4 linked regions of the Elephas maximus indicus genome follow. The protein of the gene in region 1 interacts with the protein of each later gene in a pairwise test. Links are inferred from orthologs where the notes say so. Each region holds a gene or a part of one and is shown in the gene's direction. Other genes may lie near its edges.

Region 1 (7,416 bases):
TCCAAGGAGCGCCTGGTGGATTCCAACTGCCAACCTTTTGGTTCACAGCTGCAGCACTGAACCACTACGCCACTACCTAGTGCTCCCCAAAATCCCAACTCCTCAGCCCAGGATGCAGGGCCCTGTATAGTCATGGCTCCTGGCCCTCTTCAGCCAATACCTCCCACCACACCTGCTTCATGGCCCACCTAGGTCAGTGCCGTGTTGTGGTCAAGGACTCCAGTACCAGTTGCCATTCCGTTGACCCCGACTGCTGGCAACCCCCCGTGTTGCAGAGTAGAACAATGCTCGATAGGGTATTCTTGGCTGTGACTTTGCGGAAGAAGATCACTAGGACTTTCTTCCGAGGTGACCTGGGGTGGTTCTGAACTGCCAACGTTTTGGTTAGTAGCCAAGCGCTTAGCTGTTTGCGTTACCCAGGGAGCTCATAGGTTTAAATCCTGGCCCTGCCACCTACCAGCTGTGTGACTTTGGGCAAATCTCTTAACCTGTCTCTGCCTTGGTTTTCCGATCTCTAAAATGGGCATGATGGCAGTATCTAAGCATTCAAGCACTTAAGACAGACCCTGGCGTGTAATAAAAATGCATACATATGTTGGTTGGGGTATTATTTTTCATAGTTTGGGCCACACTTCCGGGCTTTTCTATATACTTGAAAACCCCTTTCTTCTGAAAATTACTTCTTCAAAATTCCCCTTCTTCAAAGGCAAACTGTGGGTCCCTCTCTAAGGCCCAGCCCTCGGGGCTGGGTATGTCTGTGTCTGGCTAGAGGCTCCTAAGATGGGAGTGTGCCCTGGTACTGGCAGGTGCCTGCCTAGATGAAGATCAGATTCAGGTGGTTTCCCAGGAGAAAGGGGTCCAGTCCCTATGGCAGGGCTGGAGGAGGGGGCCAGCTTCCTCTGCTGTGACCTGGAAGTCACCCAGGGCCCCGAGCTCAGGAAGACCCCTTAAAACTGTCTTTCTGAGCTCACCATCTTAAGGTCCCTGGATAGCGCAAACGGTTTCTGTTTGAATCTACCCAGTGGGGCCACAGAAGAAAGGCCTGGCAACCTGCTTCCACAAAGATGACAGCCAAGAAAACCCTACAAAGCAGTTCTACCCCGTAACACGCAGGGTTGCCATGAGTCAGAATGGACTCGTCGGCAATGGATTTGGCTTTTGGTTTTTATCACTGTCTTGAAATTCTTGATGTTTTTCAGCAAGAGGTCCTGCATTTTCATTTAGCCCTGGGCCCAGCAAATTCTGTAGCTAGCCCTCACCAGTATGATTTATGGGTCTGCTTATTCCAGAACCCCACAAGAATATGGAAGAATTTGACAAAAGTTCACTCGGTTTCTCTTAAGGCGTCAGTACTAGGGCAGGAGTGCACTTTACGTGACTCCAATCTTTTCTCACCCCGATCTGGGCTCCCTCAGAGCCTTCTTTAAAATGCTGACACTTTGTCCATCCCAGATTTCTTTGCATTTTTAAAAAATATTGCATTAAAATATTATTTATCTTGACTTTTGAGGTTTTTGTTTTGGAGTTTGGGGGGGTGTCCCCTTCAATTTTGCCCACTCATGTCACTCTAGTCCCAGTCCCTTAACTGCCAGAAAGGAGATGGGTTCTGATGCTCCATTTTACAGATGGGAACACTCAAGGCCCAAAGGAGTTACATTCACAGCGGAGGACGCCTACATAGATGATGATGACAGTTAACGGACCCTGTCTTTAGCGTTTTCCAGGAGCCAATCTGAAGATACGTGGGTGGTGCAGATGGTTTCCAATCAACCCTGCTGGTGGAGTGCTTAAGAGCTCACCTGCAAACCAGAAGGTCGGCAGTTCGAATCCACCACCCACTCCTTAGAAACCCTATGGGGCAGTTCTACTCTGTCCAATAGGGTCACTACAAGTTGAAATCCACTCAACGGCAATGGGTGAACCAACTGAAAGGTTGACGGTTTGGAGCTCACCCAGTCACACTGAGGAAGAAAGGCCTGGCAATCTACTTCCGTAAAGATGACAGCCAAGAAAACGTTACAGTGCTCAGTTCTAAGTCTGTAACACATGAGGTCACCATGAAGTGGAATTGACCTGATGGCTTAGGGGCTGATGTTAACGCGCACGTCATTTCAGCAGCCTCTTCAGGGTCTGTTCATGCGGTAGCCGGAGTTGTTGTTGTTGGCAGGTGCCATTGAGTCCGTTCCGACTCAGAGCGACCCTATGTACCACAGAAGGAAACACTGCCCGGTCCTGCGCCATCCTTACAATCCTTGTTATGCCTGAGCCCATTGTCACAGCCACTGTGTCAATCCACCTCATTGACGGTCTTCCTCTCTTCCGCTGACCTTGTACTTTACCAAGCATGATGTCCTCCTCCAGGGACTGGTCTCTCCTGATAACATGTCCAAAGTATGTAAGACGCAGTCTCGCCATCCTTGTTTCTAAGGAGCATTCTGGTTGTACTTCTTCCAAGACAGATTTGTTCGCTCTTTTAGCAGTCCGTGGTATATTCAATATTCTTCGCCAACACCACAATTCAAAGGCATCAATTCTTCTTCAGTCTTCCTCCTTCATTGTCCAGCTTTCACACGCATATGATACGGTATTCATAAGGTTTTCACTGGCTAATTATTTTCAAAAGTAGACTGCCAGGTCCTTCTTCCTAGTGTCTTAGTCTGGAAGCTCAGCTGAAACCTGTCCTCCATGGGTGACCCTGCTGGTAGCTGAATACCGGTGGCATAGCTTCCAGCATCACAGCAATATGCAAGCCCCCCCGCCCTGCCCACGGTACAACAAACTGACAAACACTAGGGGGGCAGCCGGAGGGATACTGTCAAAACCCAAGTCAGGGAGTCAGGGCCCCTCCCTCCCTTTCTCCTCTGCTTACAGCCCTCCAAAGAGTCCCACCTCCCTCAGGGTCAAAGCCCGAGTCCTCCCCACACTCGTGAGGCCCTGTATCATCTACCTCCCTGCCCTCACCTCCCTCTATGATCCACTACAGTTTGCGGGGCCCAATGCCCTGGTGACTCAGTGGTTAAGCACTCAGTCCGTAGTTGGAACCTACCAGCGGCTCTCAGGGAGAAAGACGTGGCAGTCTGCTTCCATTAAGATTACAGCTTAGAAACCCTATGGGGCAGTTCTACTCTGTGCTATAGGGTCGCTATGAGTCAGAATCGACTTGCCAGCAATAGGTTTGGTTTCTTTTTGTTTTTGTTTTTTTGGAATGCAAATCAAAACTGCAGATCACCTTGTTAAAAAAATCAATAATTTTAAAACGGTCACAACTAAGCATTAAACCAACCCTGGCCCTTTTAGGTATAATGTCTTGGCTACTGGGTGATGCTGGTACTCATCGCTTCCCAGGCTCCCCGTGTGCCAGGCACAGTCCTGCCTCAGGGCCTTTGCACTGGCCATTCCTGCCTCCTTGAGCACGTGCCACCTCTATGCCCCTATTGGCTCCCTCCGTCATTTTCTTCTGGTCTTTCTCAAATGTCCCCTTCTCAGGGCAGCCCTCTCTGACCCCCCTGTTTAATACTGCACCCCTTTATGTCCACCTGACGCCTCAGGGTTGTGGCCTCAGGATTTGTTTCTTTTCTGTCACATGTCATCTCCACAAGGGCATCTGGACCCCACCCCACCGCCTGGAGCAGGGCATGGCACACAGTTGGTGTGTGCCGTGGAGTCGATTTACGACTCATGGTGACCCCATGTGACAGAGTAGAACTGCCCCATAGGGTTTCCTAGGCTGGAATCTGTAGGGAAGTGGATAACCATGCCTTTCTCCCTCAGAGCAGATGGGTAGGTTCCAACCTCCCACCTTTAACCGTTGCCACTAGGGCTCCTGGCCACACAGTAGGCGCTCCATAAATGCTCACTGAAGCAACGACTCTTCTGAGGGCCGCAGGTTCCCACTTGCCTTTCCACAGCTGAGGAAACTGAGGCTCAGAGACACCAGCCACCGTGCCAAGGTCACGGAGCATGTGGGTGGCACGCGTCCAGGGCGCGCCATTATAGGGCCTGCGGTGTAGACCAGGGCAGCCTGGCCCCTTCCTCTGACAGTTGGGGAAACCGAGGCCCGGCGAGCCGCCACGGCCAAGGGGCCAGGAGGGGGCCGGGGGCTGAGGCCCAGAGCAAGGTCACGGCCCGGGCGGCGGCGGGGGTGGGGCGCCGCAGGGCTCCCCGGGCGCGCGCCCCCCCCTCGGCGGCGCGCACGGGGCAGCGGCGGCGGCGGCGGCGGCAGCAGGTGGAGCCGGAGCCTTCGCAGCAGCAGCCCGGCCGCGGCCACTCCGGCGGCGCCGCCATTAGACAATAGGAGCGGCGGGTGCGGGCGCGAGCGGGGCGGGGCGGGCCGCGCAGGAAGCGGGCCCGGGGCGCGGCGGGCCGGGCGGGGGCGCAGGAAGCGGCGAGCCGGGCGCGCGAGGCGGCGGCGGCGGCCCGGGAGCGGCCGATCGGCGCCGGGACAAAGGCGCGGCGCCCGGCGCCCCGAGCAGCCCGAGCCGGGGCGCACAGCCGGGGCGCAGCCCGCGCCCCCCGCCGCGACTGACATGATGTTTCCACAAAGCAGGCATTCGGTAAGCGGGGCCCGCCCGGCCCGCCGCGGCCCCCTCCGGCTCCTGGCCTGCACCCCCCAGCTCCTGGGTCTACACCCCCCCCCCACCTCCAGGCCTGCACCCCCCCAGCTCCCGGACCTGGCACCCCCAGCTCCAGGCCCTACACTCCCCCACAACCCCGACTTCCTGGGCCCAGTTTCCCCCAGCTCCTGGGCCCAGCGCCCCAAACCCTAGCTCCCAGCGCGCTGCGCCCCTACTCCAGGCCTGATACCCTCAGCTTCCGGGTCCTGGTCCCCCCCCAAGTTCCCGGGCCCGGCGTTCCCCCCCAGTTCCTAGCCTGGTGCACCCTCCCCAGTTCCCCGGCCCAGCCCCCCCCAGCTTCCGGGCCGGGCCCCCCCACACTTTCCCAGTCCAATCTCCCGAAGCTCCCCAGTCCTGTACCCCCTTTCCTGTACCTCTCCAGCTCCGGGCCCCCCCCTTCCCAGCCAGGCCGGTCCGTAGGCGGTCTTGGCCTGGTCCTGGGAGCTCCGGGAACCCTGCTGGTCACCCCTTGCTCTGGGGCTGCTTGGGGGGCCTGGAGTGGGGGGGGCAATCCTCCCGGAAGAGCGTGGCCTTGGGGAAGGACTCTGGGGACCTGGAGTGTGGACCCCTGAAATATTATGGTTGCTGGGAGACGCCCCTCCCCCAAGGGGACTTTGCAGTGAGGCCTCGGCCCTCCAGGTGGTTGGGGCGCTCCGATGCGCACCCCCTTCTCTGGGCGCTTTGGAGGGGTGGTAGGGGGCGCATCCTGCCCCCCATCAAGGGCAGGCTTTAAAACGCGCCCCCACAGCCTCGGGGGTGGCGGGGGACGGGCGGCTCCAGGCCCACCCACCCCCTCGGCTTCCCCCGGGAGAGGCGGGGGCAGGAAGCGGGGGCGGCAGCCGCGCCAGAGGCTGTAAACATGGGCCCAGGAAGTGGGGCACGAGGGGGGACGCTGCAGCTGCGGCGGCAGCCGCCCCCTGGTCACCCCGGGGAAGGAGGAGGCAGCCCAGCCTGCCTGGCCCTGAATTGCGGCCCCCTCCTCACAGGGCTCGTCGCACCTCCCCCAGCAACTCAAATTCACCACCTCTGACTCCTGCGATCGTATCAAAGACGAGTTTCAGCTCCTGCAGGCCCAGTACCACAGGTGAGCCAGGGGTTGGGGGTTATCTGGAATGGAGATTGCCACCCCCATACATCTACTTTAAAAATATGGAAATAGAGGGTCATATGTATGCCAGCTTCTAGCCTAAACACGTGGCTAGTAAAAACCAAACCTAAATCTGTCCGTTGGATTCAGACTGGTAGTGACCCTATAGGACAGAGTAGAACTGCCCCATAGGGTTTCTAAGGAGCTGCTGATGGATTCGAACTGCTGACCTTGTGGTTAGCAAGCCCAGCTCTTAAACATTGCACCACCTGGACTCCACTTGGCCAGCAGTAACATTTATTCTTCAAATTGACCCTATTTCACAGATGAGAAAAGCGAGGCACAAGAAAGTTAAATGACTTACCCAAAAACAGGTCTGTCTGGCGTCAGAGCCCTCCCCCAGTCCTCAGTAGGTAAAAGACCTCCAAGTCCAAGAAGGACCCTCCGAGTCCAAGATACCCCCCCAAATTTTTTTTTGCAGTCTTCTCTTTCTCTGCCGTTTTGGGGAGAAGGCTCCTGGCAGATTCTCAAAGGAGGGTCTGCCTCCTGAATTGAGTCTTCTAACATTTCTGAAGGGCTTGCCATGTGTCAGGTTTAAGCAGAAGGAACTGTTATTGACCTTGTTTTCTACATCAGGAAACGAAGGCTCAGAGAGGTTAGAGATTGCCTCAGGGTAGACAGCAAGGAAGTGATGAAGCTTAGATTTGAACCCAGTCTCTCCAGGGCTAAGAATGCAAGTTCTCAACCCTTTTGCTATGGAGGGGTCCTCACCTGGGAATTAGAAGTGGGTCCCATGGCCAGAAATCCTAGTGGGGCTGAGACTTTCTCTGGACCTGTTTTCCCACCCACAAAAATGGTCTTCAAAGGATCCTGGGTTTTCTGCAAGAAGAAAGGGGAATAGCGATTTATTTTTATTTTAACAAATATGCAATCTTTTTGTTCACTCATTCTTGCAGTCCTATTACTGTACCCATTTTAGAGATGAGGGAACTGAGGCACAGGGAGTTGAAAGGTCTGAAGCAGCTCGCCAGACAGGCCCCAGGGACTTTGCATTAGTCCTGCCATGTGGAGGGTTTGGGGGCTTCACCTGACCTAGGCCCACCTCATGGTCATCAATCCCAGAGGCCGAGGGCCAGAGGGCAGGCCAGACCCCCTCTGTCAGCTTTGGGTTCTCCATCTACTGGGCCTGAATGTCCTGCTCTACTTTGGGGGGTTCTGCCATGTCAGGGTCACACACAGGATCAACCAGACAGAATGAGGCCTTCCTCAAGAAGGGCCAGAGACCCAGCGTTTCGAGTAAGATTGCTTTTTTTAAACTGCCAACGAACGCACGTTTTTAAAGAAAATAAACTTTGTGGGGGGCAAAGAAACTCCAGCTGTGGATCACCTCTGAACTGTGGGATGTTGTGACCTGGTCAGCCTGGTAAGATCCGTGAGCACTTATTGAGTGCTTACTGTATGCCAGGCCGTGTTATCCAAGCTTTACTGTCTTAATTTATTGAATCTGTACAACCCCACCCTGGGAGGTTGGTACTTAACAGAGGAGGAAACCGAGGCTCAGAGAGGGAGAGGAATTTGCTCAGGGCCACAGAGCATGGAAGGGCTGAGCTATGAACCCAGTCCTTCTGGCTGTGGTATGATGGGAGTGGCTGAGGTGGGTATGGAGGGACAGCCAGTCCGTGGGGACCCCCTACTTGCTTCGGTCTAAATAGGCTA
Region 2 (7,239 bases), on another chromosome or scaffold:
GCCCACAGTGGCTGACAAGGTTGAGAAAACTGCTGCCAACCACACACCCTGCAGTAGTAGAGAACAGTGTGGAGCTCTGGTGGGGTGTCACTGCTCTAGGAGCCTTTGGGCCCATGCCGGCAGGCTGACTACACTGGGCCTCTCCCACTCTCCTGCAGACGTGTGTACTGCGTGTAAGTCTGTCTTCCCTGCCCAAGGACACTCTCCAGCAGCACTGAGGGCTCACCGGGTCAAACACCAGTACGGATGTTGTCACATCACATTAGACTGGGACTCCCCAGAAAAGGAGGTACCAGCTAGACTATGACTGGCAGCTAGCCACTCGTTATATGTGCTCACACCTAGGCACCGCCCTCTGCTACGGTACAAGCTCCAGAACACAGCAGACTCACTGATCACGGACCTTCACGTGGAGTTCCTGCAGGAAGTACCTTCAGGTGGTGCATACCTCCCCTCTCCCTCAAGGACACACAGGTCTGGGAACCGGGGAGGAAGCAGGGGGTTGGCCCTCCCCTTCCAGTGATATGCTGGGGCCGGTGCCACTGGCCCTCCACCCTGAGGCCTGGGTCCCTAAAGGGCACTCTCACTAGAGGACACGGCAAGGCAAGTCAACTACAAACTCTGGCTGCACCACTTTGGGCTTGTGTCCAGGGACCCCAGTTACCAAAAGGAGACGCCTCGTGTAGAGGTAACTGAGCCCAGCTGCAGGAGGCAGGGCTGCAGTCCACAGCGCTGGGGGAACACATGCGGGACTGGGTGCCCCACCCCAGGACTGCACATGGGGAAGGCTCGGTGCCCAGGGCTTGCTGCGGACTCTGGGTCATTCTGCCAGGTAAGCCACTGGGGCCAGCGGACATGGCAGCTGAGCACAATAAGGCCCCAGAAGGTCAGCAGACGGAAAATGAGGAAAGACCGCTGGGACCCCAGAGGAGCCACCTCACGTGTGCACAGTGGCCCAGGCAGCACAGCCACTGCCGGCCACAGACAGAGTGCCTGCAGAAAGCCCTACTCTCAGCTCTCCAGGATCTGCAAAGGGCCAGCCTGCCAGACCACACCTTCCCGGACCTGCACTGAAGCATGACTTCTCACTTTACCCACGGCTGCATCTTCCCCGCTCTATTCCCAGGTATTGATCTTCAATAAACACCCCGCGCCCCAGTCTGTGTCTGCTTGAGAACCTGGCCTGTGACAAGGAAATGTATCCCATGTGGCCTATTCTACTTCCCATGTGCGTCTGGTGTTCTGATAAGGAGAGCCCTGGGCTCGGTCAGCCTCTGGCCAGTGCCAGTGGTCAGAGAGAGCAGGCCCAGAACTTCCAGCCAGTGCTGGTGGTCACAAAAACCAGGCCAAGGGCTTCCGGCCAGTGCCGGTGGTCACAGAGAGCAGGCCAAGAGCCTCCGGCCAGTGCCGGTGGTCACACGGAGCAGGCCAAGAGCCTCCGGCCAGTGCCGGTGGTCACACGGAGCAGGCCAAGAGCCTCCGGCCAGTGCCGGTGGTCACACGGAGCAGGCCAAGAGCCTCCGGCCAGTGCCGGTGGTCACACGGAGCAGGCCAAGAGCCTCCGGCCAGTGCCGGTGGTCACACGGAGCAGGCCAAGAGCCTCCGGCCAGTGCCGGTGGTCACACGGAGCACGCCAAGAGCCTCCGGCCAGTGCCGGTGGTCACACGGAGCACGCCAAGAGCCTCCGGCCAGTGCCGGTGGTCACACGGAGCACGCCAAGAGCTTCTGGCTGGCAAGACAGCCGCTCTCTCAGCTGAAGCCAGGCAGGAGGAACACTGCTGGATGCCTGTTGCTGGGGTGAGAAACCAGCACTCGGCACTTGGTCCCACACAGAGGCAACTGGCAGGTATCAGGGCGGGGACCTCTGCGTCCTGCCCCACACCAATCTGAGAAGAGGGGCTCTCTGTGGGAGGGGCTGGTCTGTCTGCTCACTGCAGGCACACGGCTGAGCTGAAGACCAACTCTATCCCGTGTGGGTTGTCTTGGGGTGTAGGGGCAGAAGAGCCCCATGCTGAGACCTCCAAAGTGCCCAAAACCCACGTCAAAAGAGAAGGCATTGCTGTCCACCTCTGAGGAAGCCGTCCCCCTGAAGAGAAGAAACCACCATGCAAAAACAGGTCTTGCTGACTGAAGCCCAAGTTGAGGGAGGAGACGCTCAAACCCATCAGAAGAGACTTGGAAGTGGCCACCAGCTAAGCACCACAGAGCCTCTGCAACTTGCCCGCACTGAGTCCTCGGCTGTCACTTGTCCATGTCTCGTGATCATTAGCAACAAAATTTTTAAGCTAAGAACAACCAAGGACTTCCTTGCTTCTGGGGAAGCAACTAGGCAGCCTGAGGTAGGATCAGGAAGAGAAACCTCAGGAACAAAGTGGATGAAGCAGCTGCTAACGAGATGGAAAGAGGCTGAGTCAGGTCCTGAGGGCGGTTGAGAACAAGGGGCACTGTCCGGAGAGGAAAGGGGTGGCGGCAGGTGGTGCCTGGAGAGGTGGGGTGGCGGGGCCCAAGCTCTCTACACATACAGAGACACACTCACACACACACACACTCACACGCTTTCCCACGGCAGCTCACCTTGTCCCACAGTGACTGCAGCTCCTCCTGCCCCCCTAGGTCCCAAAACATGAGGCGTGCTTTCCCCACATCCACAGTGCCGACTGGGGAAGGAGAGCACAAGGCTGTGACCCTGTTCCTCTGAATCTCCCACCTCCCCCACACTTGTGTTTCAGAAGAGCAGGCTGCCCACAGGCACGTGAGGGGCCCTGCAGCGTCCCAGGGCTCAGCACCCCACACGAGCAGCCTGAAGGCCCAACTTACTGTTCAGGCCCACGGTGGTGGTGATCTTGGACAGGCTCATCCCTTTGTAATGCTTGTTAAACCGGGTTTTTGACTGCTCCAGGAAAGTCTGAGGAGGGAAGACACCATCAGCCAGCAGGCAGAGCCAATTTCCAAGTTTGCCTCCCATATGTCCCTTCTTGGGCCCACTCCTGAGAAGGCAGATCAATGTGAGAGGAACTGGGGGGTGACCTTCCTGTGGCCTCAAAAGGGGTTCAACATCTGTCTCGGTGGTCAGTGTGCAGCTGAAGGCCTAAAACCAAAAGGGCCCCAGCACGCACCGTCTTTCCGGCATTGTCCAGGCCCAGGATGAGGATGCAGTATTCGTCCTTCTGGAACACGTACTTGTACAGGCCCGACAGCAGCGTGTACATCCTGCCTTGAGACGCCCAAATCAGTCAGGGGTGGCCCAACCCACACCTCACTGCCCACCAGCTTCCACAGCTGGGACACAGCACCCCATCCGTGGTCTGTCCTGCCAACTGCTCAGACCAGGACCCCAGGGGCCACTCTTGACCCCTGCTCCACCACCTCTTCAGCAAGCTTCCTGACTCTGCCTCCACTTCTCCCAAACTGGCCTGCTTCCTCCTTCTCCACTGCCACCACCTGGTGGCCAACAGCCTTCCCAGGACCACTCACGGAGTTCCTCAGTCCTAGCCCTGGCCTCTCCAGGTCACTCCGCTCACAACAACGACTGTGGCCTTTCAGGACGTATGTGGACTCTTGTCCCATCCCTGATTCGCCCTCCCGGTACGCGGAGGACCCCAGCCACGTGTGCGAACGCGCAGGCACACGCCCTCGGGCGCTGAGCGCCCGGCCACCAGGCCGCACTCCGCTCAAGCTCAGCTTTCTCACACGCGGGTCCTGGAACACGGTCGCTCCCACTCAGCCTGGGCAACCGAAAGCTCTTTAAGTTCCGGCTGTGCCAGGGCGCAGGCCTGCTCGCCCACCTCGAGCCAGCACTCGCCAGGAGCCACAGGAGGCTACGAGAAAGGGACGTCCGTTCTTTGGAGACAAGCCACAGGGCCGGGGCTGCGGCAGCCGCTGGGGTCGATCTCGCAGGGCAGCACCCCTGGAGGCGGCGGTGGCCGCGAAAGGCCGGCCCGGGCGTCCGAGGCGGAGGCTCCCGGCGCCCAAAGCCCCGCCGCCCACGCAGACCCTGAGTTCCGAGTTCCTGTCAAGAACAGCGAACTGCCATGGCCTTGCCCCTGGCCCTCACGCCGGCGGGAGGGGCGGCCGGGACGCGCGACCTACCTGTCCGCGGGCCTCGAGCCGCCGCCCGACCCGCACCTGACCCCGCGCTGCGCCTGCTGGGACGCCTCGGCCACCCAGACCCGCTCCCGGCGGCCCCCGCGCACCGCTTCCCGGCGGCCTCTGCGCCGCGCACTTCCGGCGGCGGCGGCGCGAGGGCGGAAGTGGTGGTAGGTGCGAGGGCGGAAGGAGGGTCGCCCGACCGCTCTAGCCGGTGAGGCGGGCGGTGCTCTATGGCGGCTGCTGGGTAACCGCGCGGGGCGATGGGGGGACCGTGCTCTGAGGGGACGGGGCCTGAGCCTGAGGTGAGAGGTGGCGCGGAGGTGGGCGTGGACCCGGGAGAACGGAGTCGGCCCGAAGGGTACTCAGGGCGGCCCAGGGGGAGTTGAGGCCGGCTCCGAGGGCTGACTGGGCCGAGGGTCGCGGGCCGGACTGAGGGGAGCTGACGCGGGCTTCTCTGGTCGCCTACCAGGGAGCCCCGAGCTCAGACAGGACACGGAGAACCCCGGTCAAGCCCGACGCATGATCCCAGGGAGGCCTTGGGAGGGAAGCGTAGCTCTTCGTCGGCGGAAACGAGGTTGTGGGGCCATCGGATGGGATTCCTTGCTGGTTCTCCCCCTTGTCGGCATTCTCATCCTTCAACGGGAGAAATCGCCGAGCTGTTTCACGGCCTGTCTGAGAGTTTCTTGAGACCGTGTGAGTAAGGCTCTGCACAGAGCACGGCCAAACCGGTGCTCAGTCAGCTTCAGCCTTACAGGGTGGTGTCGGGATGAGGGCAGCAGACTTCGGGGCTCATTTGCCTTCTCATTGCAGCTCTGGCTCCGGCAGCCTCCTCTCTGAGGACCTAGGGACACACCTCCGTGTCCTCGACGGCAGGATGGATGAGGACAGCTTGGAGATGGCCTTGCAGACCTACCATGTGCAGCTTCAGCAAGTGGAGCTGGCCATGGGTACTGGCCTGGAGGCATCGGAGCAGGCTGACCTGCACCAGCTGCAGGGAGACCTGAAGGAGCTGATCAAGCTCACTGAAGCCAGCTTGGTGTCTGTCAGGAAGAGCAAACTGTTGGCTACACTGGACCAAGAACACCTGGCCCAGGAGGATACTGAGTACCTGGCTTTGCAGAAGACCATCTCTGAGGTAGTTGAGGTACCAGAAGCCCCAGGAGCAGAATTGGAGACTGTTTCTAAAGGAGAGGCAGGGCCTGAACCCAACAACCCTGGGCAAGAGGAAGAAGAAGGGGGGGATGACGAGGAGGAAGAGTTGAGTGGGACAAAGGTGAACGCCCCCTACTACAGCCCATGGGGCACCCTGGAGTACCACAATGCCATGATTGTGGGCACGGAACAGGCAGAGGATGGCTCGGCTGCTGTCCGGGTGCTGTACCTCTACCCCACACACAAGTCCCTGAAGCCCTGCCCATTCTTCCTGGAGGGGAAGTGCCGCTTCAAGGAGAACTGCAGGTAAAGCCCTCTGTTCTGGTGCCCCAGCAGTTAGGGTGTAAGGGACATGCGGAGAGCGGCAGGATCCCAGCTGGCTCTGTCTGTGCGGTGGAGTTTTGTCCTCCGTGACCCAGCAGAGTGGCTGACAAGGAGAGAGCTCTGTGAAGCAGTAGCTTCCCACAGAAGTGTCCACAGTTAGATATCTACTTCAGTTTTACTGGGGGGAAGGACAGAAGAGCTTATGTTGAAAAGAATAGGCTTCTAGCGCATCAGGAGCAGTATTGTCCAGAATGAAACCTTTACGATTTACTTATATTAAGAAAAATTTCAAACACGCGCAGAATTAGAGAGGGTAAGATCATGCTGCCCCTACCTTGTCGTCCAGCTTCATCAGTTGTCAGCGTTCTGCCAGTTTTGTTCGTTTTCCCCAGTTTGAATACTTTAAGGCGTATTCTAAGAGTTACTGTTTTTTTCATCTGCGAGTATTTTAGGATACGTCTCTAACAGACACAGACGTGAGTAAAATAAAAAACATCACGTAGTTATAATACCTCACAGATGTAGCAGTAATACCTGAGTCACGCTCAGATTTCCACGGTTGTCGCCATGATATCTTTTTTACTAAAATATCTAACTTTATTTTTCCTTTTTACTGTTTTTGAAAGGGACATTTACTGACACTTCCAGTCGATAACTCCTCTTTATAGCCAGCAGACACGGTGACTAATCCTCGTTCTTTGACTGTGTTATCGACTTATAGATTCTTTTTGGGCCCAGAATCTTATTTGGCAAAGTTCTCCTTCCTTTTTCTCTGCAGTGTTTATTGAAATATGACGTGTGTACAGAACAGTGTGTAAATCATAAATTTCCTCAGTGGGTTTTCCCACTGGACGAACCTGTGTAATCAGCAAACAGGAGCAGGAACAGGCTTCCCACCTCAGTCCTCCTGGAGGCTTTCACCACGGAGTCTATATGTGCTGTCCTAGGAGGATGATGAGGGCGAGCACTTCCAGCTGGTGCTTCCTGCAGGCCAGGTGTGCAGTTGTAAGAGTTCCCCACACGTTAGTGCTGTAATCTATCCGTGCGGCTCCATTTCACAGGCTGAAAGCTCAGCAGGGATGGAGTTTGGCTGAAGCATCTCGTGAACACCCACCTTTCCACCACCCAGAGCTGATAAGTTATTTTCTTGAATTTGCTTTGGATTTTTAAAACTAAGATAGGAGGCGCGGCCAAGATGGTAGAATAGCCAGGTGCTTCCTGCGATTTCTCTTACAACAAAGACCCAAAAAAACAAGTGAAACGATTATATTTATGACAAGCAAGGAGCCCTGAACGTCCAAGGCGGTGTTAGAAAATAGACTGAGCTGCAGGGGACGGGAGAGACAGTTCATAAGCGGAGAGGAGTTGCCGCACCTGAATTGCCGGGAACCCCCAGGCACCACTCCCAGGAGTGGCTGCGGCAGGCTGGTGGTAGCGTTAGGCCGTGGTTTCCTCAGGGAGAAGCAGCCAGCTGCACGGCATGCCCACATCTCCGGAACCAGAGAGGAACGGTGCTCTCGGCGAAAGCTAGGTACTTGCGTATATTTTAACGTGCTCCCAGCCCCCAAGTCGGCTTCAGTGGCTGTTGATTTCCTTTGGCCTGAGATAGGCCCTATTAAGCGCCCTGAGGCATTCTGCTGACCTTGGAGTAGGGATAAATTCACAATTGGGGGA
Region 3 (7,911 bases), on another chromosome or scaffold:
TAACCCTGAAGCCAAAATTTGCAAACCAACCGGCAAGTATCTGGGTGAAACAAAATGACAACGTTCAAATTGCTTGAATACCAGCTTGTTCAGATTCATAAATTCCAAGATAAGGTCATAGTAACAGTAACTCCCCAGAGATTCACGCCATCTGACTGTACTGGCAACTCTGCCTAGTTTACAAACTCTGATCTTTGCCCAGACCACCCTCCGAGGGTATCATATTAAACCACACCCCCCCCCCAGCCTTAAGGATCCTCTCTGTCTCCCCCCTTCGACACATTTCTGAGACTGTCAAGGTGATGTTCTTCCCCCTTGCTCAGCAAATGCAATAAATCAGCTTTATTTACTTATGACAAACAGATTTCTCTCGTGGTCTGGTGTGTACATGGTGGTGACTTTTACAACTGGAAAATAGAAAACAGGCGGAATTTGCAGAACTGAGGAAACAGTCAACATAAACGAACAAATTTCTATTGAAGTTAAGAAGAATTTCGTGAATAGGTCGGTAAACAGGATGTTAACGTTAGGGTGTTTCAAAGTAAAGGAAAATTTCACATTTGTGGGAGGAACATGAAGGCTGGAATGTGTGTAGCAACATTTCACAAAAGATCAACTCTTAAAATTGAGAGCATATGCTGAGGATGAGGGTCTCAGATTAAACAGAGCATGTCTTCCCTGATCGGAAACTGAAACCTGGCCGAGGCCGTGAAAGCGTCTAACCTCTAAATCATCTAGAAAAGTGGTCTCAACTCCCCCTGCTATGGCTTTGATATTCAAGAATACCTCCTGGGGCAGCCCTTATTTCCCTAGCCTTGGGAAGCCACGCCCCATGGCAGCGAATCCACAACTCTTCCGTTCCTTCGGAGCTATTCCCCACTACCCGGGCGGATGCAGTAAACAGAAGTTGCCTTATACTTGTTGAACATAGATGGAAGAATGGATACGTAGATGGCAGCAGGCGGAGCCGTGACCCAGGGTGAAGAGCCCCAAGAGTTGGTCGGCTGATACCCACCAGTTACTCGTTCACCTATGGTCAGCAAAGCCCTACGGCTGTGGGTTTTCCAACTCGAGGTCTTCTAGTCAGTACCTGGGCGACCTCCTGTCTGGCCAAGCTTCGGCGAACACCGCCAGTCCACGATGCCAAAGCCCACTCAGTCTCCCTCCGACTCTTCTTTGGCACAAAAATTCCTTAGCCATTTTCATTTTCAAAAGAGAATACACGCCCAATGTGGGGCTCAAATCCGTGAGTTCACGAGTCTCGTGCCCTACCGACTGAGATAGTCTGACAACATCCGCAACCCTTTTTCTTCGGCCTCAGGAAACCGGGATACACAGCAGGCGTGCGGACACACTTCAAGGAGTTTTGCAGAATTAATTGCACAAGAATTCATGGATCACTTACTGTGCGCCTGGCTGCGCCCTAGACACAAAGGTCCGGGGATCCGAAGCCTACAACCTACAGCCCTTATCCGGAGGAGGTGGCGGCCCAGGCTTCCGAAGGCAAGAGTAGTAAAAAAAAAAAAATTTTTTTTAGCTGAATTGACATTGTGAACATTTATGATCTGGTGTGAGCCCAGCTCTGCTGTGATCGCGCTTTACTGTTTCCCTGAAACACAGATTAGATACACACATCTGTCTGTATATGCCTCCATGTGACAGCACCCTCCCCCTATCTCGAGCCGCAGACGAGATAACCGTGAAGACGTGGGCATCGAAATGAAAAATAGACCAGAAAAGGCTGTTTCCGCCCGGTTTCGAACCGGGGACTTTTCGCGTGTGAGGCGAACGTGATAGCCACTACACTACAAAAACACAGATTATCAGCACATCCTTAATACAATCCTCAAACTACACGTGGCAGAGAATGGCAGCTCTAAGTGCGACTGCAATCCGCAAAGGCGCGTCGCACTGCCACTCCGCAGTGTTCAAGTCCCGTGGCCTGACTTCTAGCGCTAAAGCCAGTGCGTCTGGGCGGGCGCCCGCTCAGCTCACATCTGCGCGCACTCTGCGAACCGCCGGGTTCGTGGCTTTTCGCGCCTTGGGTCAGCCGCTCAGAGTCCCCGGACCACCCACTTCGGAACCTCCTGTTCTTCTGGAGTTCCTCACGAGGCGAAAAGTGTCTCCAAAAAAAAAGGGGTAAACTCTGGATGTGGTGCCCTGGTACCGCTCAGCATTTGGCACTCGCTGGCAATTCTGCACATACATTACCCATTGCCATTCAGTCCATTCCGACTCATAGCGACCCCAGAGGACAGAGTAGAACTGTCCGATAAGGTTTCCAAGGCTGTAACGTTTTGTGGAAGGAGTCCTGGTGGTGCAGTGGTTAAGCGCTCGGCTGCTAACCGGAGTTCGAACCAACCAGCAGGTCAGTGGGAGAAAAGAGGTGGCAGTGCCCTTCTGTAAAGATTACAGCCTTGGAAACTCCACGGGGCAGTTCTACTCCGTCCTATAGGGTGATTCGCATTTTTTAAAAAATCTTTACTGGAGGTTATTGCCACATCTTTCTGTCTCAGAGCTGACCTTTCGGTTAGGAGCCGAGCACTTAACAACTGCACCACCGGGAACATTATGGGCAGGAACTTGGCTCACAGGTTTTTGTTATTGCTGTTAATTACAAGAAGTTTAAACAAAGCATCTAGAACTACTGCTATCACACATGAAATCCACTTAGTAGTGATGTTGGGTACCACAGCGGCATCTTTACTACTACAATTCCACAGCCTGGACAGAATTGCCTCAAGTAAAATCAATTCCACAAACCCAGTCCGAGGCCCTGTTCGTAGACGAGGGCACCAAGAAGACAAACCTTGAGGCTTTCTGTGAGCAGAATATGTGTGGTGCACAGCTCGGAAAGTATTAGTTGAATTAATCGATGGCATTTAGAAAGTTTTGTATTTTCATTTTTTTAAGGTAATGCATTCACTTGGTTCAAAATTCAAAGAAGACAGAAAGATACAGGGAAAGTGTCTTTCCTACTCGTGACCCTTGGCCATTCCGTTGCCTTCTCAGCAGAACTCGGCTGCCAGTATCTTTGCAGAGACATTGATGAAAAGGATAAGTAATGCGTAGCTAATGTATCTCGCTTACTATGTGCTTAGCACTGTTCTGTCGGTTTACATATTTGCTCTGATTCTCACAAACCTCTGAGGTAGGTACTATTATCCTCATTTTGCATGAGTAAACTGAAGCGCAGGAATGTGCAAATATCAAATACATCTTTGAAACATATTCCTCTTTTTTACAGATGAGGACATACTCTACACACTGTGCAGTAAGTCCCGAGATTACTGATGTCAGACTTATGGACAACTGGTACCTGCCCTTTATGTAAATTTGTCTTTACTTTTAAATGATTGAACCAACTGCTTGCTACTTGCAACAAATTTTTCATCACAATCACCTTCACTTGCTGCACAGGCAACTTTTAAATCACTGAAAAGGCATCGAGACTTTTCTTGCACTGAAGGCTAAATAAGAAACATATGCACCTGTTCCAGCTTACCTACGAGTTTGACTTAAAGGCACACTTTTGGAAGGAATCTCGTTCATAGCCCGGACATTGCCTGTATCTTGCTTTTTTCACTTAATAAATCTTGAAGATGGATTTGCATTTTACAGATAGTGTTCCACTGTGTGGATATACCAAAAGCCAGACCCATTGGGTAGAGTCGATTACCATTCAGCGTGACCCTATTGGTTAGAGCGGCCACAGGGTTTCCAAGGAGCAGCTGGTAGATTTGAACTGCCCACCTTTTGATTAGCAGTGGAGGTCTTAACCACTGCGACTCCAGAGCTCCTCGTGTGAAGATCTGTCACCATCCCTTTACGGATGGGAGTTAGGGAAGTTCACCTACAGGAGGCTACAGTGATCAGGCAACAATCTCTAAAATGGGCATGGAAGATGCTGACAAAATCGTTTTGATTCTCCTGAAATCCAGATTTCTGGGTTCATGGAAGTGGGGTGACCCACCCAGGCCATCAGCCCTTAGGTGTTCTTTTGAACCTTTAAAGAACTGGTTCCCTGGAGTCACCTTCAGGTCAAACGAGTTCAGTATGCCGCTTAGCAGAGACATTGGCCTTAGGCATTGTGCATTCAGCTTCGAAATGCAGAAGTTCCAGGGTCTGGCTAAAGGCTGTTTTAGAATATATGGCATGTCCTTGTTGACTGTTTCTGTAACCTGCCCTGTGCTTGATGTTATCTCTTGATAAATTAACATAACATTGACCTTTATAACCCGCTTTCACAGTCTCCTCTCGGAGAGTCTTCCCAACACGTTCGGGTGACCGCTGCCTGAGTGGAATAGTATCTACTCAATAAATATATTCCGTTACGCTAATTTTTCATGTTTCTGTAAACAATTGAGGTTTTTGACAAGGCCAACTATAGTGGTAGGGTGTCTCTGGCTCCGCCCCCTGATCCATCACCGAGGAAATCTGAGCGCTCGAACAACAAAGTCCTCCGCCTAGAAGGGCCGAAGCGCTGCAGAGCGCTCAAGGAAGCCCCGCCCCTCTGCTTCCGGCACCGGCAGCGCTGAGGCCCGGGTGTCATTTGTACTCGGCCGGTAGGGGGGCGCCCGGCCGATTCGGTCATGGCACCGAGAGCGGACAGCCGCCAAGTACTCCCACCGTTCTCCCAAGTTTCTCTCCAGTGACTGAGGAGGGGAAGGGCGGGGCTTTTGCTCTGCGTTCCGCACCCCGCCGCATCACAGAGATGTAGGGCTCCTATGTCCTATCCCTCCCGCCCTGTTCCCGAGTGCCCGCTAGAGCGTCTCCTCGCCGTTTCCTGTCGCCCAGGGACCGGGGAAGGGGGGGGAAACTCACGAGCCTGTCTGGCGCGTAGACGCCGGAAGTGTTGGGTGAGAAATCGGAAGTGAGGGGGCGGGGCCAGGAAGTGAGGAGGGGCGGGGGTTTATGAGGAGGCCAGGGAAGCGTTGGGGTGGATTTGCACTCAGGGCCACCTGAGGGAGTTGGCGATAGCGTTCAGCTTTTTCCCTTGCCCACGCAGAGACACGGTTGTCGTCTGGGAGTAGGGAGCTCTGTGTGGAGGGGTGGGTTGTCAGAAGAACATTTCTCAGGCGGCACTTGAAGCGAGCTGTGGAGAGGCAGGGCTGGGGGTGGGGCCGGGTCGCCAGGGCGTCTGAGAGGGAAGACCCCCCGCCCCCCTCCCCGCCCCCACCGTACATCTAAACTGGCTGACTGGACGCTAAGATGGCTGCCGTTGCCATGACACCCAACCCTGTGCAGACCCTTCAGGAGGAGGCGGTGTGCGCCATCTGCCTCGATTACTTCACGGACCCCGTGTCCATCGGCTGCGGGCACAACTTCTGCCGAGTGTGTGTAACCCAGTTGTGGGGCGGGGAGGATGAAGAGGACAGGGACGAGTTAGACCGGGAGGAGGAGGAGGAGGAGGACGGAGACGAGGAAGAAGTGGAGGCTGTGGGAGCCGGCGGGGGGTGGGACACCCCCATGCGGGACGAAGACTATGAGGGCGATATGGAGGAGGAGGTCGAGGAGGAAGAAGAGGGAGTGTTCTGGACCAATGGCATGGGCGGGTCTAACTGGGACAACATGGACTACGTGTGGGAGGAGGAGGACGAGGAGGAAGACCTGGACTACTACTTGGGGAACATGGAGGAGGACCTGAGGGGGGAGGATGAGGAGGACGAGGAGGAGGTACTGGAGGAGGATGAGGAAGAGGAGCTAGATCCCGTCACCCCACTGCCTCCGCCTCCTGCCCCTCGGAGGTGCTTCACTTGCCCCCAGTGCCGAAAGAGCTTTCCCCGGCGGAGCTTCCGTCCGAACTTGCAGCTAGCCAACATGGTCCAAGTGATTCGGCAGATGCACCCAGCCCCTGGTCGAGCGAGTCGTGGGAACGAGCAGGGCATCTGCCCCAAACACCAAGAAGCCCTGAAACTCTTCTGTGAAGTGGACGAAGAGGCCATCTGTGTAGTGTGCCGAGAATCCAGGAGCCACAAACAGCACAGCGTGGTGCCATTGGAGGAGGTGGTGCAGGAGTACAAGGTGAGAGAAGAGAGAAGATGGGAATTTAGTGGGGGTGGAGAGAAAGTAAGGGGAGCTGGGAAATGGAAGCGTCTTTCCCCCCCAAGAACCTCATGTACTGGTGAGCTGATTCTCCTTATGTGAGCATTTACTTACTGGCACCCAGGTGGGGTAGGGTCAGAAGGGTCCTGTACACCGACAAAGGAGATACAGCAAAGAAGACCAGCGAAGACTGGCCTCCTCAAAGGATATAAGGCAAAGCTGATGATGCCAGATTACTGGGCTGCATCTCCCGTAGAGCAGGCCACTACTGTTTCACTCTTCCACTGTCCCTAAGTGTAGGAGTGCAGGTGACAGGCCCCTAGTGCTTTAATACTAGTCTCCACTTCCTCTGGGTAAATCTTAAGCCTGTCTTTGACGGAGACCCCAAGAGATGGGGACTCTCAGAGAACAATAATTTGGGCTCTGAAGCAGAGCGTAAAAATGACAGGTGCCCCCCACTTGTCTCCTGACTGGAGTTCCCTACCCACCCCATGATTTGGTTTGGTTCTCCCCTTGAGAACTTTTGTAGGATCTGCAGCAGTCTGATATACTGACCAGAACTTCTTACTTTTTGTAACATACAGAAAAAAGAGAGAAGCTTTTTAAGTTAGATGACCTGGTTCTGCCACTTATTTGCCGTCAAGTGTTGGGCAAGTCTCTGAATCTTTTGAACTTTAATTTCTCCATGATTGCTGTTGTTGTTAGGTGCCATCAAGTCAGGATTAATAGTTAATATTTACTGGGTTTTTTAATTTATTTATCGAACACTTACTGTGTATACCAGGTACTCTACTAAACGCTTTTCCTGGACTTTCTTATTTAAAGCTTAAAAAACTGTGATTTTGGTATGTTTTCATTCCCGTTTTACAGATTGGGAGACAGAACCAGAAAGGTGTAATGTATACAGGACCACAGAGCTACTAATAAATGGATTTGGTTATGACTCCCCTGCCCCCCGATCCATTAGAAGCTGTTACCACCATTTGGATGTCTGTTGTTAGTTTGACATTTCTGACATGTGACCTTCCTCTTTGGAGACCGATTCTGGTTTGGGTAATATCTTGCCCCCTTCTTCTGATCTTGACTCTTCTTGGACATAGGTGAAGGAGATTTGTTTGTAAATACTACTAAGCCAAAGCCTGGATGGGTTGAAAGCAGCAGGACCAGGAGAAGGAGAGGGTGGCTACTTCTTTGTGGTCTGTGCGGTGCTGTTTTGCTCTGACTTGTGTTTTCACACCTTCTCCTGATTCCTACAGTCACCTCAAGTTAGGTTCGTTGTTGTTGTTATGTCAATTTTAGAGTAACATGTCTAGGGCTTCTCAGCTCTGAGTATGTACGGCTAAGACCTATATCCCTTTATCACTAACTATTCCTTTCAAGGAGTGATTGTCAAACCTGGCTAACTCTCATAATTCCTAGGGGAACTTTTCAAAAGTACAGTGGGTCCTACCATTAGAGATTCTGAATTGGTGTGGGGAGAATTCTTAGGAGAGCCCAGCCCAGTTTAGGAATCACTGCATTGGTTAACATCACCTGCCTTTTACCCGTGTATCCTTATGGGAGGTTATGAACACCCGTTGTCTTTTTATATCCCCTCAGTTCCTAGTTAACTGTACCAGTCACACAATGTGCAGTCACTCCGTTAACTGGAACCAGGGATAGACTCTCCGTGGGCATTCCACCTCCTTTCCTCCACTCTCCTGCAGGACTCCTCTAAGGACCTTCTGAAACTGGATTTTATTTGTATTGGTCACATCTACCAAATGCCAGCTGCCTGAAAATCCTGTTTTAGGCCCTGAAGGGAGTCCATGGGTGGTATAAACAGTTAAGCATTCAACTCTTAGCCTAAAGGTTGGTGGTTCGAAC
Region 4 (7,468 bases), on another chromosome or scaffold:
GTAACCTGTTACTTCCCTAATAAACTCGAAAAATGTGAGTATGGTCTAGGAGTTCTGTGTGCCATGGGAGGGACAGTTGGTGTCAGAATTGGTAAGAAGGTTATCGAGAGAAGGTATGCCTGACCTCTGCCTCATTGGAATCAGCCTTGGCCGGTTGTTGCTGATAACAGTTCTCCTTCCCCCTTGTGAAGTTAGAGGAGGTCAGGCACCACTCCCACACCGTTTTTACATAAAGATACTGATAATAAAAGGCAGTGATAATGAAAACTAAAAAAAGAAAAAAATGAGGTACTTGTCCGTCTTACATCAGAACCGACTTACAACAGAGTCATCAGAATGTAACCAAGTGGTAAGTCAGGGACTACCTGTAGTAAGTCAAAGCAAAGGCACATATCCCAAGAGAATTAGGTAATTATTGGGTAGACCTGTTAGAAAATGCTCCAGTGTCACACAGAAAGGACAGTCATTATTTTGTCTATTTCCATGTTTTGATTTTTTTTTTTTTCCTTCTTACTAGTTGAGACCTTGTTTAGATCAGGATTCGAAAAACGCAGCTGTAAAAAGATCTTTCAGAAAACAGAGGAATTTGAATATGGACTGAGTATTAAATTGTTTGGCTGCTAACCAAAAGTTCAGCAATTCGAATCCACCAGCTGCTCTTTGGAAATCCAATAGGGCAGTTCTACTCTGTCCTATGTCACTGTGAGTTGGAATTGACTCGATGACAATGGTTTTGTTGTTGTTGTTTGGTTTATTAAATGGTAAGGACCCTGGGTGGCACAAATGGTTTGCGCTTGGCTACCCACCTAAAGATTGGTGGTTCGAGCCCACTCGGTGGTGCTGCAGAAGAAAAAGTTCTCGCAATCTGCTTCTGTAAAGATTAGTCAAGAAAACCCTATGGAGCAGTTCTACTCTGTAACATATGGATTGCCATGAGTTGGAATCGAGTTGACAGCATATTAAATGATATTAGAAGTCTCTGGATGTACAAAGTTAAGGGCTTGGCTGCTAATTGAAAGGTTGACAGTTCAAACCCACCACAGGCACCTTGAAAAAAAAGACCTGGCAAATTTGATTTTAAAGGTCAGAGTCATGTAAACTCTATGGAGTGCAGTTCTACTGTGAAACACATGGGGTCGCCTGAGCTGGAATAACTGGCAACTAATTTGGTTTATTAAATGATATAATATTATTGAAAATTATATAATTTTGGAGTGATAATATCATTTTGTATAGGTAAGCAGTCTTTATCTGTTAGAATGCACACAAAAGTATTTACAGATGAAGTGATACTGTGTCTGTGATTTGTTTTAAAATACTCCCCCCCCCCAAAAAAAAACCCCAGTGCCGCCAAGTCGAATACTCCAGTTAAAAAAAGAAATGGGAAGAGAGAATAGATGAAACATAGTGAGAAAAATGTTGGTAATTGTTGAAGCTAAGTCATGGGAATATGTTGGTTCATGATTTTCTGTCTACTTTTGTATAGGTTTGAAAATTCCCCTTAAGAAAGAGCACTCTAAAACTGAGGCGCTTGACATAACTAAAAATAGCTGACACAGGTCTGGATTGGACTCCATTTTGTTTTAAACCCCTGCTGCTGCTTGAAAGCATGAGTACCACTTTTGGGTAAATCAATCTTATTTTGCAAACAAATGTGGTTACGGTTATTTAACTATGATTTCACAAAATGTGCTCAGATTGTTCCTGAAAAATGCTTGCTCTCAAGAAGAATACATTTGAAAAGAGATTAAGTGATATAAAGACAGGTCTGTTTGTGGTTGCAGCCACACTCTTTCTTGCATAAAAACAGTGCATTCCTTTGTGAACTTTGGAACATCTTGTACTTTTACTTGGTGCTGCCCGACTCAAGTTGTACTATTCCTCAGTAAAACTCACTCCTTTCTACTCCTTACAGAGTTAAGAATTTTGCTCTTCAACATTTTTAGTGTCAGAAGTGGAATTTCGAAGGTGTTATTATTTTTCCTGGTCCCTGGAGCATCAGAAACATGGACAATGTACCACTGAGCTGTTTTGGGCTCTATGCTTCCGCAAATCCTCAGGAATTGTTTAAAGCAAAAATAAATTAAAAAAAAAAAACAACCTTTTCAGTTGGAGCTCCACTCCATAGCTCTTCAAGTTTTATTGTGGATTCGGTTTGGTTCTTGCAAGTAAACATTTGGTTTGGTTGTCATTATAAAACCGGGAATGCCATATTTAAAGGAGATTAGAGCCACCTTCTGAGACTCCTCTTCACTATATGAACAAGCATTTTGGTCCCTTAACAATGCAAGTTCTTGTCTGGCTGGCATAACCTCATTTGGGACAGTTTGGAAAATTAGTGGCCACTTTGGGGTATTTTCCAACTGAAGAGACTAGCATGTTTTAGGACTAAGAGACTAGGTCGCTAGCCAGCAGAATGAATTCAGTTCAGAAAGAAGGAAAGCAGGTTTTGTATGGTTGTTATGAAAGAATCTGAGTCTTTAAGCTTCAAAAATATGCAAGCAGAGAGTTGGGGACCTCATACCACCAAGAAAGAAGCACCGAGAGCAGAACATGTCCTTTGAACCCAGGGTTCCTGTGTAGAGAAGCACCTAGTCTGGGGGAAGATTGATGACAAGGACCTTTCTCCAGAGCCAACAGAGAGAGCCTCCTCCTGCAGCTGACACCCTGAATTTGGACTTCTAGCCTACTAGACTGTGAGACAATGAACTTGTTTGTTGAAGCCATCCACTTGTGGTATTTCTGTTATAGCAACATTAGATGCCTAAAACAGCCAAATTAAACATATATAAATGAATTCGGGTGACTAATTCTTGTCTTTGACCATGAACCAAAAGATAAGGAGGGTGGGGCAGGATCAGGCCTCCTAGGCCCCAGAAAAGCTTTTGAAGGACACCTCCCAACTAGATGAAGTCCTTTTAAGACAAAAGAAAATAAGAAAAATGCTGTCTTACTACAGTTACCAGAAATTGGGTGGATCTGTATCACAAAAGAACTCTAAACAAGTTCTATTGTAGAGGAATTCTAAGAAGCCAAAAGATAGAAATCACAATGAGACACACCAGAAATGAGATAGTGGAATGAAGACATTTTATTTCCAAACAAACAAACAAAAAAGTCAATAAAATCTAAGTTTAGATTGAAAAAAAAATGTAGGAAATGGTAAATATTTGAATTGAAATATAGACTATTTAAGCAAACATATATTTGATTCTGGAAACCCTGATGGTGTAGTGGTTAAGTGCTACAGCTGCTAGCCAAAGGGTCGGCAGTTCAAATCCACCAGGTGCTCCTTGGAAAATCTATGGGGCAGTTCTCCTCTGTCCTGTAGGGTCGCTATGAGTCGGAATCCACTTGATGGCACTGGGTTTGGTTTTTTCTGGTATATCTGATTCTAGCAATAAGTGTGATCATTTTTGTCACTTAAAGGGTTATACTCTAAGATATATATAACAAGGACAAGAAATGTAACCGAGTAAGCCATTTACTTGAGATAAATCTACTCAACTGCAAAGGGTTTGGTGTTTTGGTTTTATAGGTAGACAATACAGATACCTTCACCAGTTTTGATTCTCTAGAGAGCCCGGCCTAAGATAGTGACTGCACGTGTGTCAGAGTAGTACTGGGCTATACAGGGGTTTCAACTGCTTATTTTTTGTAAATAGATCAGGTCTTTCTTCCAAGGCACCTTTGGGTGGACTTGAACCTACAACCTTTCAGTTAGCAGCCAAGCGCCTTAACTGGTTGCACCACCCAGGGACTTAACTCCTTAAACCCAGAGTAATTCCTACAAATTTCGCCAGCCCCACAGGGGAGGGACAAGCCAGGCAAGTAATAGGATTTACGGCCCTGAGCTCACCCCATCATGAACACCTTCCCCATACATAGCTGCAACCCTCTTCTCACCCAAGCCCAGGCTGCGGGGCGGGGCGGGGGGGAGCGCCAAGGGACGGATTAGGAACCAAAATCGCGACCTGTGCCCCACCCCTCTCCAGTCCAACCTTTAGGGCAGGGCACTGGCTGACCCCGAGAACCTTCCCACCCAGCTCGTAGCTGCGCGCAGTGGAGACTGACGGATTTTTATGCCGTGGTGCCTGGGAACCAGCAGCACCTGGTGGCCCAGCAACGGAACTGTGTGCCGCGGCAGCAGACAAAGCAGGAAGCAGGCGCAGACTGGGCAGCAGGGACGATTGCGCGTGGTCTGTTTCCGGGGCCGAGGGCGGCTGGGACGCGCCGAACCTGGTGAAAATTTCCCCATGGAGGACTCTGGGAACCCGAGTCCGGCTCTGTAGTTTCAGAATTCAGCGCGGAAACAGGTCTACTCCCAAGCTCTCGGAACCTCAGTTTTCGCTTCTGTCGAGTGGGGATGACAATGCCTGCTTTATTTAAGGATATAAAAAAAAAAAAAAAAAGCGCGTTACTCAGCGTAGGCGCTCCATAAATGGTAGTTAATTTTTATAAACAGCCCCCTGAGGAAATTCGCTTGCTGTGCTCCTGCCTGGTCCGGGAGGCCAGTTTATGCGGCGTTGGGGGCCAAGAGTCGGATCTCATGTTCAGCACCCGGCGAGCGCCACTTCGCACTCATTCAGCCCCAGGCCGGAATCGGAAGGCGAGGGTCTCAGGAGAAGGGGGAGATTCTTGCACCCTAGAGTCCTCCACCGGGGATTCATCGGGCCCACTAGGCCTCAGAACTCGGGTCCCTTTCGCCTGTAACAAGGGAGCCCGAAACACACGCCGAACTCTGGCGGCGGTTTTTGCTCAGCCACGTCTCGGCGAATTTCAGTTTCATTTTTTGGCCACCGCTGCCCCACACCCCTCACAATCCCGGGTATACGACCGGTGATCGTGACGTAGAGGAAATTCAGGTTCCGATTGGTTGGCGCGGCTCGGCAGGGACCAATCCTGGGGCAGGCCCGGGAGAAATCTCGCCCGGGTGCCCTGGAGAGGCCGGAGATTGCGGGGCGGGGAGGCGCTGTTGCCCTGGCTGCTGGCAGAGCACCCGGTCCCGGAACACACTGCCGCTGGAGAGAAGCGATCTTAGACCCGCGTTCGTGGCCCGAAGCCCCGGACCGGTAAGTAGGGGGCTTCCGATGAGAAATGCAACAACACAACAGTCTCAGACACGCGCCCCGGAGTTTGGGGCGACCGGACGCGGACGCCGGGCCTCGGGGGCAGGACCGGGCCGGGCTGCCGGGCAAGCTCGGAGGTGGGTGGAGTCCGCCGCGCGCACCCTCCAAGCCTAATCCCTCCTACTGCTTTTCCCTCTATTACCCTCAGTTCGCCACTTCCTCTTGGGTCTCCCTTGTCTTTCCATGTCCAACTCAGGCTCCGATCCGTGCTGTCTCTGGAGCCAGAAGTAAGCGGGGCCGGGATGACGGTCTGGTTGCTTGGAGCCTGAGAGATAGACGGCCAACCGGGCTCCTCTAACTCTGAAGTCGTGGTGTCTTTGCATTTTTTTTTTTTTTTTTTTTTCAGTCAGAATAAACCGGTTTGGCCAGATCTGCCTGGAGCTGTGCATTCATTCCTTCTCCAGCCCGTGAGCACTCCCGCTGATTTTCTCTGTGTTTGGCTTTAAGACCAAAAAAAAAAAAAAAAAACCAAACCCACCCGCCATCGAGTCGATTCCGAGTGTGTAAATTTTCCTATGTAGGGCACATGGGAGGTAAGCACTTCCCCAAGTTCCCACTACACTCCAGATTTTGACACCGCAGCAATTAGTGTGTGCATCAAAAGAGGGGAGAGTGTCGCCCATGCAGCAAATATCAGTGTCAGGCACCGTGCCTAAGCCTCATGGCTGTTAATTAAGATCATAATCCCTAGTTCCATTTTTTTTTTCCTTCCTAGTCTAAGGGGATCGTTTTTGAAAAATAGACTTTACTTTTTAGAGTATCAGGAAAATTGAGAAGATAGTACAGAGTTCCCAGATATTATCCCACAATTTTCCCATACCCAGTTTCTCCTGTTTTTAACATCTTACATTAGTGTGGTACATTTGTTGCAATTAATGAACCAATATTGATGCAGCATTATTAACTGATGTGTGTAGTTTACTTGGAAACCCTGGTGGTGTAGTGGTTAAGAGCTAAGGCTGCTAACCCAAAGGTCGGCAGTTCAGATCCACCAGGCACTCCTTGGAAATGTTATGGAGCTGTTCTACTCTGTCCTATAGGGTCTCTATAAGTAGGAATCGACTGGACGGCAGCGGGTTTGTAGTTTATTCACACTTCCTTACTTTTTATCAAATATCCTTTGTCAGTTTCATGATCCCATTCATGATCCACATTAAATTTAGTTGTCACGTCTCCTTACACCCCTCTTAGCTGTGGCAGTTTTTCAGATTCTATTTGTTTTTGATGATCTTGACAGTTTTGAGGGTGGCACAAATGGTTTGTGCTTGAGCCAGAATCGGCTCAAGGGCAGCGGGTTTGGTTACTAACCAAAAGGTTGGTGGTTCAAATCCACCTGGCAGGGCCACAGAAGGAAGGCCTGGCGATCTGTTTCCATAAAGATTAAAGCCAAGAAAACCCTGTGGGGCAGTTCTACACTGATACATAGGGGATCGCCAAGAGTCAAACTTGACTCAATGGTGACAGGTTTGGTTTAGTTTTCCTGTTGGTCAGGTATATTGTAGGATGCCCCACTATTAGAATTTGCCTGATGTTTTTCTCATGGTAAGACTGGGGTTATGGGTTACTGGTAAGAGTACCCTTCTCACCACATCATATCAAAGGTGAACATTATCAACATCACTTCTCATGCTGATGTTAACCTTGAACACCTGGCAGAAGAAGTGTTTCCCCACCCCCCCCCTTCCATACTGTAAGAAGGAAGTTATTATGTGAAGCTCACACCACACCTAAACAGTGGGGAATTATGCTGCCCCTCCTGAGAGCAGAGTATCTACATAAATCACTTAGATGCTGCAGGAGAAAGCTACCTTTCCTCTCCCATTTATTAATTTATTCAGTCATTTATTTGTATCAATACGGACTCATGAATATTTATTTGATACTTTGGTTTATCATCTAATACTATGTCATTTATTTTGTTGCTGAAGTTATTCCAGCTTTGGCCACTGGGAGTTTCCAGTTGACTCCTGTGCTCTGTCCTGGCATGTATTTTTATAGCATTTTTTGCTATTGAGAACACTTTTTTTTTATGTGACCTCACCTCAGACAACTTGGAGAACTTGGCAAGTCACGTATTATTATTCTCTCCTTGTTAAAAGGTAAGGGAACTGAGGCCCAGAGACAGTGGGTAACCTCTTAGATGTCACTTCCTGCAAGGGGGTGACAGAGGTCTGGACTCAGACTGGCACTGACCACCCAGAAGACACTGCGAACCACAGAAGAGAGCTTGTGTTCCGAATTGAGGCTCCTTGGAGTGACTTCAGATTAAGACTCCCAGGGTCAAAATAGAAGGGCATAGAGAATAGGAAGAAGTTGGTTTTGGAAAACAAAAGCTGTAT

Evidence for each region.
Region 2: the proteins of TLE5 (region 1) and ZGPAT interact in binary tests that used the Homo sapiens proteins (3 or more experiments, as listed by UniProt). The two-hybrid records come from large-scale screens. The link is inferred for Elephas maximus indicus from reciprocal best matches to the Homo sapiens genes TLE5 and ZGPAT.
Region 3: the proteins of TLE5 (region 1) and TRIM41 interact in binary tests that used the Homo sapiens proteins (3 or more experiments, as listed by UniProt). The two-hybrid records come from large-scale screens. The link is inferred for Elephas maximus indicus from reciprocal best matches to the Homo sapiens genes TLE5 and TRIM41.
Region 4: the proteins of TLE5 (region 1) and tripartite motif-containing protein 26 interact in binary tests that used the Homo sapiens proteins (3 or more experiments, as listed by UniProt). The two-hybrid records come from large-scale screens. The link is inferred for Elephas maximus indicus from reciprocal best matches to the Homo sapiens genes TLE5 and TRIM26.

Annotation. Positions count from the first base shown.
Region 1 is NC_064821.1:6,146,853-6,154,268, reverse strand, and holds the start of TLE5 (TLE family member 5), read left to right. Parts: upstream 1-4,408; 5' UTR 4,409-4,526; coding exon 4,527-4,553; intron 4,554-5,599; coding exon 5,600-5,697; intron 5,698-7,416. UniProt on the Homo sapiens protein: Transcriptional corepressor. Acts as a dominant repressor towards other family members. Inhibits NF-kappa-B-regulated gene expression. May be required for the initiation and maintenance of the differentiated state.
Region 2 is NC_064843.1:4,354,532-4,361,770, reverse strand, and holds the start of ZGPAT (zinc finger CCCH-type with G patch domain-containing protein), read left to right. Parts: upstream 1-4,228; 5' UTR 4,229-4,256; exon of another isoform or gene 4,257-4,300; intron 4,301-4,307; exon of another isoform or gene 4,308-4,391; intron 4,392-4,558; 5' UTR 4,559-4,679; coding exon 4,680-4,780; exon of another isoform or gene 4,781-4,782; intron 4,783-4,899; coding exon 4,900-5,547; intron 5,548-7,239. Other genes in the region: ARFRP1 (ADP-ribosylation factor-related protein 1), read right to left, coding at 2,575-2,657, 2,818-2,905, 3,117-3,209. UniProt on the Homo sapiens protein: Transcription repressor that specifically binds the 5'-GGAG[GA]A[GA]A-3' consensus sequence. Represses transcription by recruiting the chromatin multiprotein complex NuRD to target promoters.
Region 3 is NC_064820.1:199,954,030-199,961,940, reverse strand, and holds the start of TRIM41 (E3 ubiquitin-protein ligase TRIM41), read left to right. Parts: upstream 1-4,911; 5' UTR 4,912-5,211; coding exon 5,212-6,024; intron 6,025-7,911.
Region 4 is NC_064819.1:89,895,506-89,902,973, reverse strand, and holds the start of tripartite motif-containing protein 26, read left to right. Parts: upstream 1-4,450; 5' UTR 4,451-5,072; intron 5,073-7,468.